Drosophila melanogaster: one gene and its partners. The gene in region 1 interacts genetically with each later gene. Each region holds a gene or a part of one and is shown in the gene's direction. Other genes may lie near its edges.

Region 1 (5,417 bases):
AAGAAGTTAAGCCAGGAGCCAATAAAATCTAGTCTGCAACTGTCTGTTGGTAATATGGCTGAAATAAAGCATTTTCGAAACGATATTTGCTATGCACCACAATTTATTTTGCCTATGCTGCACCTGTCGTTTGTGCAATCGAAAATTCTCAGGAAGGCAAAAATGATTTTAAACTGGCTCAACCAGCAATTCGAGCTTTTGCGCATGGTCAATGCGAAACCTTACAGTTTTGGCTGACACATTTCGCTTGATACCTTCATATCCGGTACTCATGGAGCATATCAGCATATAGCTTGCTACTACCAAAAACATTTTGCAGAATCACAAGCAAATCTGTCTTGGCTACAACTCCAGTAGCAGCGTGTAACTTTGGGTCACTGAACTACACTTTTGTTAAATGTCAGCATAAATGGCTAAAATGAAATACACCTTACAAGCTCCTCCTAACCAACTTGTTCATAATCCAAAAACTTCCTGTTAGAGTAGCGAATTCAAACAGTTGGCACTTTGTTTTTTCGAACTTGACATATGTAAGCCGATCGGCAAATTATCGCGAAAATGGGCCATTCGAATCGTAAAAGTGATGACCAAGCCGGAAGAGCACAGACATTATGGTAATCCAAGAACCCCCAATAAATGTAGCAAGAAACTGCCTCTTTATAATAACGAAAGAAGCTAAGCCTTAATTAAATCCCAACCCAGTGGGATGCGGATTTGGCCAGGTGAGGAGCTAACAGCCAACTGGCTTGTTAGCAAACAGTAAAACGAGCTAATGACGTACATCTGCTGAAAACCCTTGCACTTTCTCCTCCAGCCAGTTGTGATGAAGATGGCAGACTCCCATGCGTTTAGCACCATGAAGATACTCCGCTAATAGCCATTTAGCACATGGCTTAATCTTACCGTACAGTTTGTGTGCCATATGAATATGCTATGTTTGCTATAATTAGGTGCTTTGACATTTCGAGAAACAAGATCTGCGCAAATTATCATATTTGGCTGATCCCATCGATCTGAGCAGCTTTCAATGCCAATATAACGATATTGGCTCAATTGTTCTGGCAGCATCCGGCTGGAAATGGAAATGGTGGTATTCGATGGTGGTGTTCGATGGAAACACCTACCCATGATGGCAATGCCAATTTCGCGGATTGCCAGCCAGCCGGGTGCAACTGTCTCATTGTCCCAGTACAATGGCAACGGAATATGCATATGCGACGACTCCCTGCCCGCCTGACAGGTACAAAAATGCTGTCTGCCCCTTTGGTGAACTTCATTCATGCCCCGGATCGCAGCTCGGATTGCATTGCATTGCAGTGGATTGCAGTGGATTGCAGTGGAGTGGAGTGAGCGGCCAAAATCGCGGCAACATCGACTAAAACATTTTAATAAAAACTTACACAGCAACGGCTGCAGTGCAGCTGAAACAGAAAAGCAAACACAAAGCGAGCGACAAGCCGAGCCGAAGCCCCAAAACTGGTTCCTGGCCTGGCTGGCTAACTCTAAGCCCGATCCACGGCTCCAACTCCTATGAAAATGCAACATGGTGGTCTCTTACATATTTACCTTTGACTTAACAGACGCTGTTAGCCGCTCGAGATTCTCTGTCCGCGCAGCATACACATATACATATGTACATAGCTGTGTATGTACATGCACCTGCAGATCGTGGATCGCAGTACCTGTGCTCCACAGCCGAAGCCTTTCGCATGTGTGTGTGTGTGTGTGTGTGTGTGTTTGAGTATGGTGTGGTATCCATCAGCTGGCAAACGAGTAACCCCCGAAAAACCAGTTTTACCGCAAAGCGAGCGAATGCCAGCTCAATTCCAATACGTTCCACCTTGGATCGGGTAGCGCCCACTTGTTGCCGCTGCTGCGCGAGACAGGTAAAGCGAAACAGTACCGATCCAACCGCCGAGCCGACACCACGTACCACGTACTTTCGCGCAGTGTAGCACGACGAGTATGAGCTTGTGCCCCAACGCAGCGCTATTGCTATAAGGTGGCTGGCGCGATACCGGTTTTCGAGCTGGTATGAATATGCCCAAGAGCTAATTTTTTAAGAGTTATCTCTCAAGAAAATGTGTAAAGTTCAGAATGGTCCGTTTGTGGCGACGTGTGATGTGTGGATGTGTGAGGTGTGTCCGGTGGATCCAAGGCAACCTAAAGCTGTAGCCATAGAAGCCTGAAAAGGGCATACCACGCAGATATCTCGAAATAGCGCTCCGTTTAAATAACAAAGAAGCCCCGAGAGGCAAACAAAGCCTTCACGCCATCATTAAATCTAAAAATCATACCTTTGTACACACCACTTTAACCCCCGAGAGCAAGACTTTCTCTTGCCAATTTTTCAGTTTTTTTGTTTACCCAACACAACTCACAGTGGAGTGAAAACAGAAAACAAACGAAACCATCATCGTTTTGCCGAATATCAAAGGATAGAACACTAATGTGGAATGTGAACGTGATCGCCGTATTAAGCAAATCGCATTTATCGACCGGGATTTCTGCGGCATTTGCCAAGAACCAAGAAACAAGCAATAAAACAGCCAAAAAAAACAAAAAAAAAACGGCAAATGAGGTCACGTATGTCGAGATTTGTGTAAGAAACTTACACAGTCGTGTTCACTGTACAGGCATACGTAGATAGTCATCGACTTGCCATGCTACTTTTACTACATGCTACCAAACTCCCACGCGCCGCTTTGTTCGCCAGCTTTTCGCGAAACATTATGGCTTATAATTAATCCAAGAGGGCAACCTCCAAACAGTAATTAAAATTCACTTCAGTGCGGCAAAACTCACTTCCAAGCCGGTGATCCGGTGATCATCAACTTCGAAATGATCAACTTCGGATTCAATATGAATTTTATGACAGAGAAATACATAAAATAAGTATTACAACACCTTCAAATTTGTGTCGCGAGTGTTTTTAATCGAGTTTAACCCTGTTTTTTAATGCGCAGATACAACATCTATTGAATAATATAGTAAATCGAAATGTAATTGAGGACCAAGAATAACCTTTGTTAACGGCGTGTGACTCCATTTTTCACGTTGGATACTCAGCTGAAATACTTTGAGCTGCTTTAATATTTAATCTTTAGACCAAACGGTAAGTGCGGAGTATTATTAGTATTATTATTATTAAATTATTCAGCATCCAAAGGCGGGGAGAAGCAAAATGATGAAATAATGTTCTTTTCTCCGGGCGGCGGAGATTAATCTTCATTTGGCTAAATGGCTAGAAGCCATTTATAAAGCAGAAAACATAATCACCTAACCGTTTTTTCTTCAGCGGAAAGTCAGGTCGATTAATTTTATTGTCACCCAAGAATTTGCAGTTCAATGTCTTTGGCCATCATCTAAATTCAAAGATTTGTTTTTAATTATTCTAAACTCAACTTATTTTGGCCAATTAAGACAATCATAATGGTAGAATGTTTATGTTACTCAGCAGTTGCTTAAGTTTCGTTAGACGTGTTCTCGATAAAAAGGCGAATCATTAAAATTAATCATCAGGAAAAATGATTCTCAGCAAATTGGCTCTAAGATACTTGTCGAGTTCATTAGAACGATTAGAATGTTAAAGCACTTTGAGTCATTAAACTCGACAAATGGCCATTTTGAAGACGATCATATATTTACTCCCACAGGAGTCATAAATATATGGACAGCCAAAATGAATGGCATAGATTGAGATACTTTATATGCTGATAGAATTCGATATATATTATGAAACATCTCACGGATCCGTGAGGAGAAATACTTTGTATGGCCAAGAGCGCGTCCTCTGTCCAATAAAATTAAAATACAATAAAACACTCAGCGAATTAGCATAACAATCGCAGTTGGAGCTGACAGAACGATGGTGTATACATGAATGTATGTATCCAGGTGATCCAAGTGATCCGAGTGATCATCCAGGGGAGCCGAGTGGCCAGGTGGACCAGGGTATGCCGCCATTCGGTGCCCAAATGCTGGCGTTCCTTTCTTGTTTATTTAAGATTTGTGTGGCAACCATCGTTCGCATTCCAGCAGATTTGAGATTTAAGTTCGCTACGTATTGTACCACATTCAAAACTAGAAAATGTTGGCAAAAACAGCATCAATAAGCAACAGGTTTGCCGCATATCGAATCTGCACCCAGCAGCACACAACACACACAACACACACAACACACACAACACACACAGTACACAGGCATTCAAAGCGATACCTCGGCTTTCGTTTATTTTGCAAACCAGTTTGGCACATTCGGCTTTTTCTATAAGTTTCCGGTTGAACATAATCAGCAACTGACTTTCTGTGGTGGCCACCGCCGAACTCCTCCTCTGGCTGCTCCTGCTCCTCCTGCTCCTTCTCCGATCTCCTCCAGCTTCGCGCCTTTGTTTATGCGGGGGAAATGGAAAATGGCATTTTGTGTACCGTCCAGTGAAAGCGGAGGACTTGCAGCGCTTTTCGCGATTTTCCCGATTTTCTCGATTTCCTCGCAAATGGAAGCAGGAACGGCACGACGGAGCATTTAAGCCCCCATATCAATACCATGTGATATCTCGCACTTAAGTTACGCAATGGGCGATCGGGGCTTTTATGATTTCGGAGATAATTTCAGCAGCAGTTGCGTTTGCAGACAAGTTTGATTCCACTCGCGATTGCAGCACACTTTGGCGAAATTAAATAAATCGTTGGGAAATCATGGGTATTTTGATTGGTTTATTTGGCTAATTGCGTAAATCGAATTGCAATTGGCCATCGAAGACAATAGTTGTCAGTGGCGGCTAAGGATAAGAGATCCATCAGCTTGGATTTTAATTGTCAGCCAATAGTTGAAATTCAATAATTCGCTTTGTTCATTAGAGCGCGCACTTTATTCCCCTATTTTATGAGTTTCGGTTAACCAGCACAACGGAACCCGGCTGCTCTGGACAGTGCTATCTATATCCAATGGATGCGATCGAGGAGGGAGCGCGAAAACCAGAAGATTAACTCCGATCCGTTTCATTAAACAAACGATCCGAGTAACGGATACGATGCAAGTGGCTCCTGGTGCCAACGAGTCTTCAATGGAGATCGCAGATGGAGCAGAAAGTCAGAAAGCTAGAAAGCCAACGGATGTGCAGAAACCTAAGCCGCAGCATGGGATGGCCAACTCCCAGCACCCAGCTCCCAACTCCCAAGCTCTTGGTTCTAACTGTATGCCAGCCGTAGCCGCAAAAGTTGATCGGCCAGTTGGCGAGCTGGCCATTTAGGCGCTCGATGAGATGAGGTGGGCAAAATGGGCAAAATAAGTGAAATGGGAGAAAGACGATAGAAATGGGAAGAATGGTAAAAATGGGCAGAATGTGCACCTGATCGCTGGGTACTCCGCGGGCTGGCTTGCCACTTTATTAGCCAATTTATGATGCCACCGTTAT
Region 2 (5,519 bases), about 23 Mb from region 1:
TGACTTCATTTTACTCGGTGTCGCTGCCTTTTGAAACAGTCCCAAATTCGAGATTAACTGGAAAGAGATTTCGTCTGGTTTCATGGCCTTAGTTTGGCCAACTCTCTTCGACTTTTATCATGAGATTTTTTCTTTTTTTGATGTGTAACACCACGAATGAAGACATTACCAACGAACAGCAGGTGGAAAAAACGAACTGTGAAAACTTGGCCCCTCGCAATGGCATCCGAAAAATTCATTTTTCGCGTTTTTATATAATGTGGATATGGCTTTTCGCTAATTTCGAATTTAATTTCGAGTTTCTATGTAGATTGTACTCATAATTAAGCCAATTACTATTGAACAACTTTCGCTGCTCTTCGTCTGCGCTATCGCATTGCATGCGATTGGGTAAATCAAATCACACAAGTATCAGGTTTACCAGGTCCCATTCCAACGATGCAAGGAAGTGGGTGCTTAGGTCTGTGGCCATTTGGTAGCTAGATAATTGGCTATCAGTGGAAGACCCATTGGTAGTATGCAACTTTGGAATTTTTTACAACACTTCTAGTCTTCTTTTCTTTTGCTTAATTTATATTTCTTAATTTTTAATTCTTAATTCCTAATGCTTTAGTATTCATATGTTGTGCATTTTATGCAAAAGACACTACTTGTAGTTTCCGTTTTCTTGCAGCGTTCTTTTCCTTTGCATACATTGAGAAATGCTCCATTCAAAAACTGTGAGCATAAACTGAAGTTGCATTGTTATTATTATTATCTTTTTATGTTCGCCTGTATTTTATTAGCATTAGCATTAGCGGCTTCTCAATGACGGTGCGATAAGCCCCAGACAAAATATATGTATGTATAAACAAAGGGAGACAATGCAACTTTGGCCGTGTTTGTGCAACACCAAAAAAAGCGCATTTCTGCATTATTCTCTGATGTTTGCACGTTAATGTATGCAACCACAAGAGCAGCCCCAATAACATAGAAACTGTGTGCACATTTGATACTTTTTGACGTCTGCGAGCAGAGAGTTGAGAGTTGAGTTGGATATGATTTGATTTGATTAGATTTGAGTTCTTCAGACACACATTTCCTTTTTAATGACGGTTGGCCAACTTGCTGCCATTGATGTGTGATGACGGTTTCTGGGCGCGTCTCGCATCCCAAGTGGAGAATTGATATTTGCATCGATGGCATTTGATGGCGGTGGATCAGTCAGTGATCGGTGGATTTATGAATTTGGGAGCAGCTCCGCAGATAAGGCCTTCGGAATGGCGGTTATTTGGGTTTGCTAATAGATATTGGAATTTCATGAATCTTTCTAGTTTTATTTAATATTTCGGGTATCGCAGTAAAAATAACTTTTATGTAGTTATATATACATATATCGTACTTTCCTCTATAGAAACCGATTTGACCTCGACTAGTTTTTGGGTTTTAATAGCGTCGGCGTACTTATCTTATCTCTAGTTTTACTTATCCCAAAGTAATTGGTTAAATATTATTAGAACACCAAACATTTAGGGATTATAGTAATTATTTCACATAATATAATATAATATAGTACTAATGCTATCCTTATACTAATCATTTTTATCACTCACGAGTGTTCAATGTACCCTACAATAGGGGTGATAAGGTATCACCTTATCACTTATCATTTCACTCTTTCGAAGTAGCATAGAATTTCTTTATTTAATCATATTTACGAAAGCTGTAAATGGGATTAATCTCTTAGTGCCGCTGTGACCCCAAGCATCCCTGACTCATGAACACTCTGGATCTACGAGTATGGAGATGCAGGGCCGCTAATACGAATCTACGCTTGTGCTCTTTCAAAAAGTCAGACAAAGAAGTCGAGGAAGAAAGAAACCGAAGGTAGGCGTAATCGGAACGATGAATGCCAACTCGGCTTGGCCTGGGTTTTTCAATGGGATTGAGTTTTTCGCCATCCAATTGGACAGTCCAAATAGATCGCGCTGAGTTCACTTGTCAAGGAATCGACTATTGCAGTTGCCTTGCCAAATTGAAAAAAAAAAACTCCGTCTTTGAGTCTTGTGTATGCATCATGGTCGTCTTGTTTCGAATCCAACGACTTCTAGAGAGGGCCTTTCGCTCACTACACCCACACTGGCAGACAGCAACAGCCTAGACACACCTGAGTGTGGGTGAGAGCGAGCATTCAACCACGGGGTAATGGTAATGGGTATTATGTATTACGTGCACGGTCTCACCTGTTGCGCTCAGCTGACGCGCGAGAAGGAGCCAGCCAGATGAGAGCCAACTAAGAGTTGGCCGGAGAGCAACAGCAAACCAGTTACATGTTGGCAGCCTGCAGATGCAGACCGTGGTGAGTTGGCAACGCTACCAGCCAAGATCCGTGCCGCCGGAGAGATCAGTTGGTGGTCGTGCTTGAGACGGAGCGGTTGGCCGAGTGCGATCGCATTACTTTGCGAACGATTTATATATACATATAAACCGCGCTGCCCACAAACGTGGCCAGATAAGAGGAGATATATACCAATACCTATACCTATTTCTCGCCGGGTTGGTGCTAATCTTCGTTTTAAGCGTGCCTGCGTGTGTGTGCGGTTGTGATTTATGCAAATCTTTGCTTTCTTATTAAACAAACACAAGATCTGGTAGTGAAATAAACGGCCCAGCAGAAGAAAAGAGAACCACGACCGAAAACATTCCATTGGAAATACCGAAAACACGTTTTCTCCCTCCAGCTCCGAATCGCTTGTTCGCTGTTTGCTTTCTGCCATTTGCCATTTCTACAAAAAAGGAGTGAGAGTGAAATGTGAAATGCGAAATGTCAGTGCAAATAGCTATCAACTTTTACAATGACATCACTAGATGTTAGCCAAAAGAAATATTAACAATTGCCAGCAGATATGGAATAAATAGAACCGCACGCTGTCTAATTGCCTTCGTACCAATATGGCCAAAAAGGCGTGCAGCAAATTCTGCGGTCTGCAGCCGTTTTCAGTTGCAGTTTCTGCTGCTGCCGTTGGAACCGGTTGAAATATTTTGCTATCGCAATTTGGGTCTAGGGTTTTTTGTTGCTGGCGTTGCATTGTAGCGAGTTGCATGAGCATCGACTGCCTTGCATATAAACAGTATATCTTTTTTTAGAGCCCAATTGGCAGCCTTTGTTTTTGGCAAGCTGGTTTATTTGCCTAGTTTCTGATTTGAATGGTGAGAAGTAAACATTGTGCTGGCGGCGTAGTCTTAAAAAAATGAAAGATATTTATGAGCTGCTCTAGGCTTAGGTACAGAAGTTGTAAATCTAAATGAAATATGCTAAATAGGGTTTACGTATCGTAAATCTACATAGGTTTTCAAAAATTCGGACACATTCAAAACTATGCGAAACTTTATAAAACAAAAGACTTGGGAAACGAACTTGCGTGAGTGGCATCGAAGATGTTTACGCTTTCACACTTAAATTGGTCATTACATAAATGTGTGACATAGGAAATGCTTTAGATATGCGGCGTATTTGGAAAAATTAGCTAATACTTTTATTTCGTAGCTTAATTAACTCACATATTATTTTTGATTGATTGAGTCAAGAGTAAGCCACCCCTATTTTCAAGCTAACAACTTTCCAATTTCCGCGTAGGGCGACCTAACAAATCACTCAACAAATCGGCTGGCAAAATATAGACTTGAGTTGACACTTGAGAGATCGTTATTCAACCGACTTTCAACGGAAATGACAGCATTTGGGGTTACCAAAGCGAGTCAATGACAAATAACAGAAACCGCTGCCACAGATGTCGTGTGAACTAAAATAACCGCATAAGAAAATCCCGCACCCCAAAAGAGAAAACTAAATAATAACTAGTGAACAAAAGTAGGTAATGAGTTATCGAGACCCTTCGAAACGTTTAAAAGTGCATGTAATTTATTTAATTCCATATTTATAGCAGATTACTATAAATTAACAATAACAAGTGCAAACGTGTGAGAAAAATCAAAGAGGAAAAGCCAAAAAGACGGAGCACAAACATAAACCAAAATGCAAACGTGTAGAAGAAGAAAAGCCTCCGGCGGCCAATCCACGATCAAGTGGAGTAGAATGTGCCTGGCCACTCTCTGCGGATTACTTTTGCTTGGCATTCAAATTGAGCGTGCGGCGTCTGCGCCCGCAGGCGAAGACGCAGCGGCCACAACGATGCCACCTTTGGATACCACAACAGATGCCCCAGACGCCGTTGCAGCCACCACCACTCCAGCCACAACTGCCGCAGAACAAAGCAGCAGCATCAGCAGCATAACCACCGAGGCGGCGGATGGTTCAACGACTTCCACGACGACAACAACTGAGGCGGCCAACAAATCCAATGCGACCGAAACTGGTGAGTCCAAGCCGAAAGCCATGAAAATTATAGATAGACGGCATCTACGCGACGACGCTCGCATAGCTGGGGCATCTCATCCCGATCTCCGGCCAGACACTTTAATCCCGCCTAGCCGCGCTGTGCTCTCTGCGCCGTAATCAAATCTCGTTCTCTGAGCCACCAATTAACGCCGTGCCGGTGCGTGACTTCTGGTCCGCCCTTTTTTTTACCCATTTCGTTTCGATTTGTACGGCATTTCTCCATAATTATTTTCCGATTCGGTTAAATGGAGCGAACAAGAGAAATTGTTTGACTATTAATGGATGGAAGAATATTTGAAGATATACATAAGCGGTTTCCTGTTGAATTACTTAGTTAATTACGCGGCATATTAAAGGGAAAATATTAAAATTTCCGGCCCTCAAGCTCAATCTCGGAAACCAATTATACGAGAAATTATTATTCGTGCTAGAACAAGTGAATGAACTTAATTAAATCTTAATATATTCTACTCGTACTACACCCAAGATACTCAAGATAAATTGAATTATACTTCTATTTCGATACAATTGATACTTAATATAAAATAAAAAATAATAAATCAGATTAGATTTTTTTTTTTTTTTTTGTAATTCTGTTGAATGAACACATTCACATTTAGGTTATTAGGATAACTGGAGAAATTCGTTTAACCAGATCACCTGAGATGGAATGATTAACTTTCACACACGTACCTTTTGCAAAATAGATTAATCGGGCAATTCCATTGCCGAGTTCTTGGCTGTAACAGATTTATAATTATCTAGAAGGTTGTTTGGGCTTAATGTCAGTTGCACACCAAACTCTTCACGAGGCAAGCACTCCGTCGTAAAAACTTCAATTGGTTTTTCATTGTTTTGATACTATTCCATCTAGATTCATTGATGACTCGATAAAACGAGGTCTAGCAGGCCACACACAGGTCTAGATCGATTGAGCATAGGTTGTTGCCATGGCAAGTGGGAATGCATTGTTTAAAAGGGACTGGCCTTTTTTAGCCGGTCTAAATGCCACGGGAAGTTAATGAGATTTAACAGCAAACATTGGGATGGTGGTAAGGTAAGCCTTCACAAATTACTCAATTTAAATGCAAAGCAGCCAACTGTCATGACTCATGCCCTTAACCTACGTAGTCCGTACCAT
Region 3 (5,821 bases), about 14 Mb from region 1:
GATTTGATTGAGCAGCTGTCAGAGGAACTTCAAAACCTGAGCTCTCAATAATTCCGCAGGCCTGCCGATTGGATTGGATCTCGGGTCCGAACGGATCGCTGGAATGGCTGTTTCGGGTTTTCGCAAGCTTTCGATCATTCAATCAGGATCAATATTTATCAATCAAGTGTGTGGGTGAGCGCAAAAAAAAAGCGACTGAATGGAACTATCAGAGCAGAGCATAAACATATAGAAATGCCGAACCAGCTCACGCATTAGACATGCTCACCCATTATTATACATACATACGGACAGACATACGGACAGACGCAATTGACTAAGAGGCCTGCGCGTGTTGGACGCACGGACGGATAAACAGACAGTCAGTCTGACATCGAACATCTGAAGACTTCGAATTCGATAGTGATCCGTAGTCTAGGGCTCTTCACAGCCTCTCGCTTATTGATCTTCGATCCACACGAAGGCCGCCAGCGTGCAGATCGAAGTTGCACAAATGCCAGGACAAGGGGTCTGGATTGGGTATCCACCTGAAAGTGATTCTCTATCCAAATCCAAGTTGGGGCCAGTCCATCTATGCTGTTGCCATATAAGCATCAACAGCTAAACAAAAGTTTATGGCTATCTGCCCGCCTTATGATCTAAATGCGTTAATTATTAGGATGATACAATGCGATCGGAGCAGATAGCATAGATACAAAAATGGATAGACAGATAGATACATTGTGGTCAGCGGTCTCCAGTGGCTCGATCATTAGCATCTGAAAACCAGCGGCGCCTCTTTGAGCAATATTTCCTAATTTAGAACGTATGCTTTCCTACAGATCAGTATGCGATTTGCTAGACTGAGCAATTTATTAGTGACTTGGGGAGAGACTCCAGCTAGGAGTCGTTTATTTTGTTTAGTGGCTGTGTAAACATTGCTTACAGGGCATGATGATTAGTTCGGTGTAATACAAACAGCCTTCTTGGGGAACTCACTTGCCCCCTCCAGACTTTTAGGGCTATTTTGTAAGATGTTCTGTTATGGCTGCTGTTTTATGTTGGCATCATTTGGATGCCGGCTGTTTGTTGTTGATTACAAAACAAGCGTTTTGTTGCCGATTGCATGGTTGCATGGAGAACGCTCTTCCTGGAATCTTTTGAGATGTTTTTCATTAGTCCACCATTCTCGCAACATCCGTAGTATATGAATATGCATCATCGTATTTTGGAATATTTTTAAATTTTCGCCGACCTCCACGGCGGCGAAATGGATTTTTAATTTCCAACTATACTTTAATTTGGCAAACGAGCTCTGGTCTTTTAATTGATTAATTCTTATTGCTGCGTTTGATTAAAGAAAATATTTAGTATACAATAGGGTCAATTGCTACATATGGTAATTTGGCACAGAAGACATTTATGTGGAAGAGTTCTCGGCGTTCAAATAATGGAGCGAATGGCTACTATTTTTATTCACTGACGCGATCAGTAGATTGATCTTGACCCACATTGGATGGGCTGGGATCCGGCAGATGTCGCACACTCTATGCCCAAATGAGACAATATAAAGTATAAAGTATAAAGTATTGTTTATAATGATACCAATTTGAGACAAATCAGTTACACTTGCCTATCTAAACTATTACGATATGTTTGTTCAGCTTGTGTAGATTATTTAGATATATCTTTATATTTGTCGCATTTCTGAGTAAAGGCTGTCGTGTCAGTTTATTTACGTCAAAAAAAGAATTTTTTTTGATACTGATGAGCTAGTCATCATTGTACCATTCTCTGTGATCATCAACTTCCTTTTTTTCTTCCGAAATGACTTCTTCCGGAAGTGCACCACTGGTAATGCCCAGGGTCTTATCCTCTATTTCAAAAGAATTCGTATTCAAAGTTTTTAGTACTGCTCGGTGCGATTAGTAATGCATAGGCTAGTAAAATAAGTCATAAGTAAAAAGAGTTTTATTATTTACTCAAGTACATACTTACTCAAATTGGTTGGTATCACACAAGTGTGAACATGTTTACAAATTTTGATTACTTTTAAAAACTATTACTGAATAAAGCATGCAGCATAAGCCTATTTTTTTTTTTTTTAATATTTATATTATTTCATCCGAAAAGGCAGATACTCTAGATGCAAAGATTGTTACTATGCTAACACACCTTATCTTATCCGATGATAATTATGTCCACACACTTAATCCTCACATGTGCAAAAATATTGAGTAAGCAGAGGCGCACTTAAGAGAGCGTTCGAGTGCTCTTTTAAGCCGCGCTCGGCTCTCTTTTCGCCACAGCGCTCTCTGCGCAGAGAAGCCGGCTGTTCTGCGTACTGATATGATTCTGACGTATTTCTAATCTCTCTAAAACACTCCTTCGGAATCGAAATCCTAAGCCCATTCAGCAAACCCATATCCCTATACTCGTGCCTACATACGAGTATGTACATACATATGTACATATGTATGTATGTATGTTGTACAGCATATAGCTGCGAGAGAACCGCTTTTAGCTTTCGGAGCGATATATGTTCGCGATCTCAGATTGCTTGGCGGTACGGCGGAACGTCCGCTACCAACTGCTGTTCGGCGAGCAGTGTTCAGTCCGCAGCGGGAACTCAAGCGAGCCGAAACGAAACATCGCCAGATACAGATACAAATTCTCTGGTTCGCAGCATTGGTCTGGTCCATCGGCTCGTTCTCGTCCGTTTCATTTATTTGCGCGCGCGCGGTAGTATCAGACAATTGCTAAAGTTCCATTTGTAATATTAATCCAGTTGCGATTTCTAATTCGAATTTGAATACGTATTCATCCCAGTGCGCCAGTGTATTCCGTATCCTGACCAGCCATGTCGGCCAGATGGCGATAGCGATGCCGATGCCAAACGATCGGCGTGTTCTTGTGAACTCTGACATGGTGCTCAGTTGTGGGACAACCTTCGCCACCGAAAAGTTTGCAAAAATAGCCGCTGGCCGAAAGCGAAAAGAAAGCCAGCAACTCAGAATGCCAACGGTGGCCAAGTTAATGGTGCAGCTCGAAAGTGAATGCATTCGGCGCGATGTGTGAAGTTCAAGCTTAACATTGGCCAAAACCCAACCGCAACTGCGAATAAATTCTGTGATTCGGCAAAAAGATTCATCATGAGATCGTACAATGGCTCCAGTACTAAGTAGTTTATCTAGCTAATCGCAGCCATAAGTGTGAGTCGTTTTAATACCCACGAGCCGTAGTCTTTGCCTTTCTGTTCGTTCGTATTTTCGCATTTTTTGGCGGGTGCGGTGCCCACGGCAACGGAACGAGACTGTCGCATTTCAATTAACAAAATAAGCAAAAAGCCAAAGAGCCAAAGAGCCATAGAGCCAACATAAGTGTAAAGATACATATATCTACAAGATATACGTATAGCCGTATATACGCATACTGTGGATTTTGTTGCTCTTTCGCGCGCATTTTTGCACGTGCCATTTGGGATTTCGGATTTCTGAGATTGGAGATCGCTATCTTATCTGGTCATCGCCATGTCCATGCCGGATGCCGGTTCACTTAAATCGCCCGCCGGCGGCCAGGAGGTCGAGTGCCATCGCCTGCTGTCGGACCTGCCCGCCTTCGCGTATCCCAGCACCACACTGCGGTCCACAACTTCTGGTCACAGCACTGGCACGAATAGTACCACTGTCTGCGAATCTCCCGGTGCTCGGGATCGTACCTCCTTCGCGTGCTCCTCCTCTTGCGTATCATCCGCCTGCTCAGCCACCGCCTCCGATGACGACGAGGATGAGCGTGCCCTTGAGCGCTGTCTGCGTGGGACGACGGACGACCTTGGGGAGTCCGGCCTGCGGTATTCGCTGAAAGGACCACCGCCGGAGCTCTACTCGGCCAAGAAGGACTTCATCAGCAAGGGTCCGCTGCTGGGCAGACAGGTAGGTCCTAAATCCGAGCTCTACATAAGTATAAATATTTTTGGAGGCCTAGTCCGCCGCATCGAATTTCGTGGGCTGATCGAATTCGCAGACCGGGATTTTAACGATTTTTCATTTATTTGTGTTTGTATTCGTCTCTGTCTCTCTCTCTCTTTTTTTTCTACTTTATCGAAATCGGCTGGCCAAGCGAAAACCAAATTTAAGTTAATTTATTGCATTGATTCCACATCAATGTGTCGAGTTCTTTCCTTTCTTTTATAATTTCGGTTGATTTGCCGATATTTTGGTGTGCTCGTCTCGTTTTGTATGCCGCATTGTTTTATTTCGTTTCATTTCATTTCATTTCATTTTTTTTTTTGTTTTGTTGCTTTTGCCGCCACTCTGGCTCTCTATTCGATTTTGATTAAATACCACTGGCGACACAAAGAAAGCGACAACCAAAGCGTTGACCACCGCATTTGAATTCACACGCCTCACTGGCCACGAAGCACCGCGCACGCGGCAGCGGAAATGTGAATCTGGATCCCAAGTTGGATCCACGATAGGATTCTCGGCAACCTCACCGTTCGACAGCTTCAAACAGACTGAAGATGGCAACGTGTTCGAAGCACTTCGATCCAAATGCGCCAGAGCGCCTCCACGAAGTGCATTCATATATCAAGCAATCTGGTCATCAAACTATTCCTTTTGGTTTGGGTTTGCAGCTCCCACTTCTTTAGCTGACTCATAATCCATCCATTTGCGTCACACAGGGTCTGCTGATGTATGTCGGACGTGTGTTTCCGCCAGGTTGCCACTATCTTGCTCTAGCTCTGCAGCAACAATTTTCGGGAAAGCGAAAGATTCTGCAGCATCGGGAGCACATGTCCCACAGGAGATAAGAACATAAAAGATATCTAATAGAGATAAAGAACAAAGACGCCCCTGTCTGGATGTCACTGATATTCCATATTCCAGACAGGATTGGGTACGAACTTTTTTTTGCCCATTAGTGCGAGGCAGACGACGAATTAAGATGCAAATTTCGATAAACATTTTCAAGTTCGGTTTAAGGAAATGGTATTGCAGTTACACACGACCTGGGTGGAAACAGCACATAACTACGATTTACAGAGCTCAACAAGGTGTGAAAAGCGTTTGTTTCGGGACGTGACAACAACGTGAATGGAAACATGCCTAAATCACGGCTTACTGGCTAACTGGCAAGCTGGCTAACTGGCTAACTGGCTAGCTGGCTTACAGGCCATTAGAATTTTATCAACGTCCGCCTGGCGGGCAATGTAAAATGTGAAAAACGACACGATCCCCCGGTCCATGAATACATAATAATGCATAATAATGTTGGGTGCGCGAGTGGTGAAGTCTGTAGGCCCAACTGCCACTGATAACGGGCCATGTGTGGCAACGTAACCCCCTCGGGATCGAATGGGAATAGGATGTACTGTCTATTTGGGTTGTATGTATAAACTCGTATGCACATCGCTTGGCATTTTAGAAGCACATGAGTAATTGTGACATATTCAGTGCGGTGCGACTCGATTCACTCGCTGTTGTGAATGTTTCGAAAATAGATTTTCTAGTTTTTCGCGTGGCGCCTAGAATCTGAGAAGTCGGGAAATACATGCATGTAAGTAAGGCTGCGCCGTCCAATTTGTATTTCGACAATAAAATTTTCACAATGTGTAGAATTTGAATATTTATTTTCTTGCTTTTTGTTTCTGTTTCGCGTTTTGTCTTTTTTTTTTATTTATTTATTTAGTTTTTTTTTTTGAGTCGTACGTCGTCGCTTTGCGCGTGTTTCTCTGTTCTCTTTTTTCAATTTATTTCGTCTACTTTAAATAAAAACAAAAAAATATGCTAGTTTCGGAAAACCGAAACTTATACACCCTTGCAGTAATTATTTGCAGAGT

What was found. A genetic interaction does not mean that the proteins touch.
Region 2: of Cad99C (region 1) and sas, changing one suppresses a phenotype caused by changing the other (phenotypic suppression), as found in Drosophila melanogaster (one study listed by BioGRID).
Region 3: of Cad99C (region 1) and AdamTS-A, changing one suppresses a phenotype caused by changing the other (phenotypic suppression), as found in Drosophila melanogaster (one study listed by BioGRID).

Annotation. Positions count from the first base shown.
Region 1 is NT_033777.3:29,839,759-29,845,175, forward strand, and holds the start of Cad99C (cadherin 99C), read left to right. Parts: upstream 1-1,898; 5' UTR 1,899-2,032; intron 2,033-2,966; exon of another isoform or gene 2,967-3,115; intron 3,116-5,417. UniProt on the Drosophila melanogaster protein: Cadherin that functions in epithelial morphogenesis and the intestine epithelial immune response. Essential for female fertility. Regulates the length and organization of apical microvilli in developing follicle cells and salivary glands.
Region 2 is NT_033777.3:7,160,506-7,166,024, forward strand, and holds the start of sas (stranded at second), read left to right. Parts: upstream 1-2,302; 5' UTR 2,303-2,535; intron 2,536-3,616; 5' UTR 3,617-3,854; intron 3,855-3,923; 5' UTR 3,924-4,015; coding exon 4,016-4,355; intron 4,356-5,519.
Region 3 is NT_033777.3:15,472,977-15,478,797, reverse strand, and holds the start of AdamTS-A (ADAM metallopeptidase with thrombospondin type 1 motif A), read left to right. Parts: upstream 1-2,604; 5' UTR 2,605-3,509; coding exon 3,510-3,911; intron 3,912-5,821.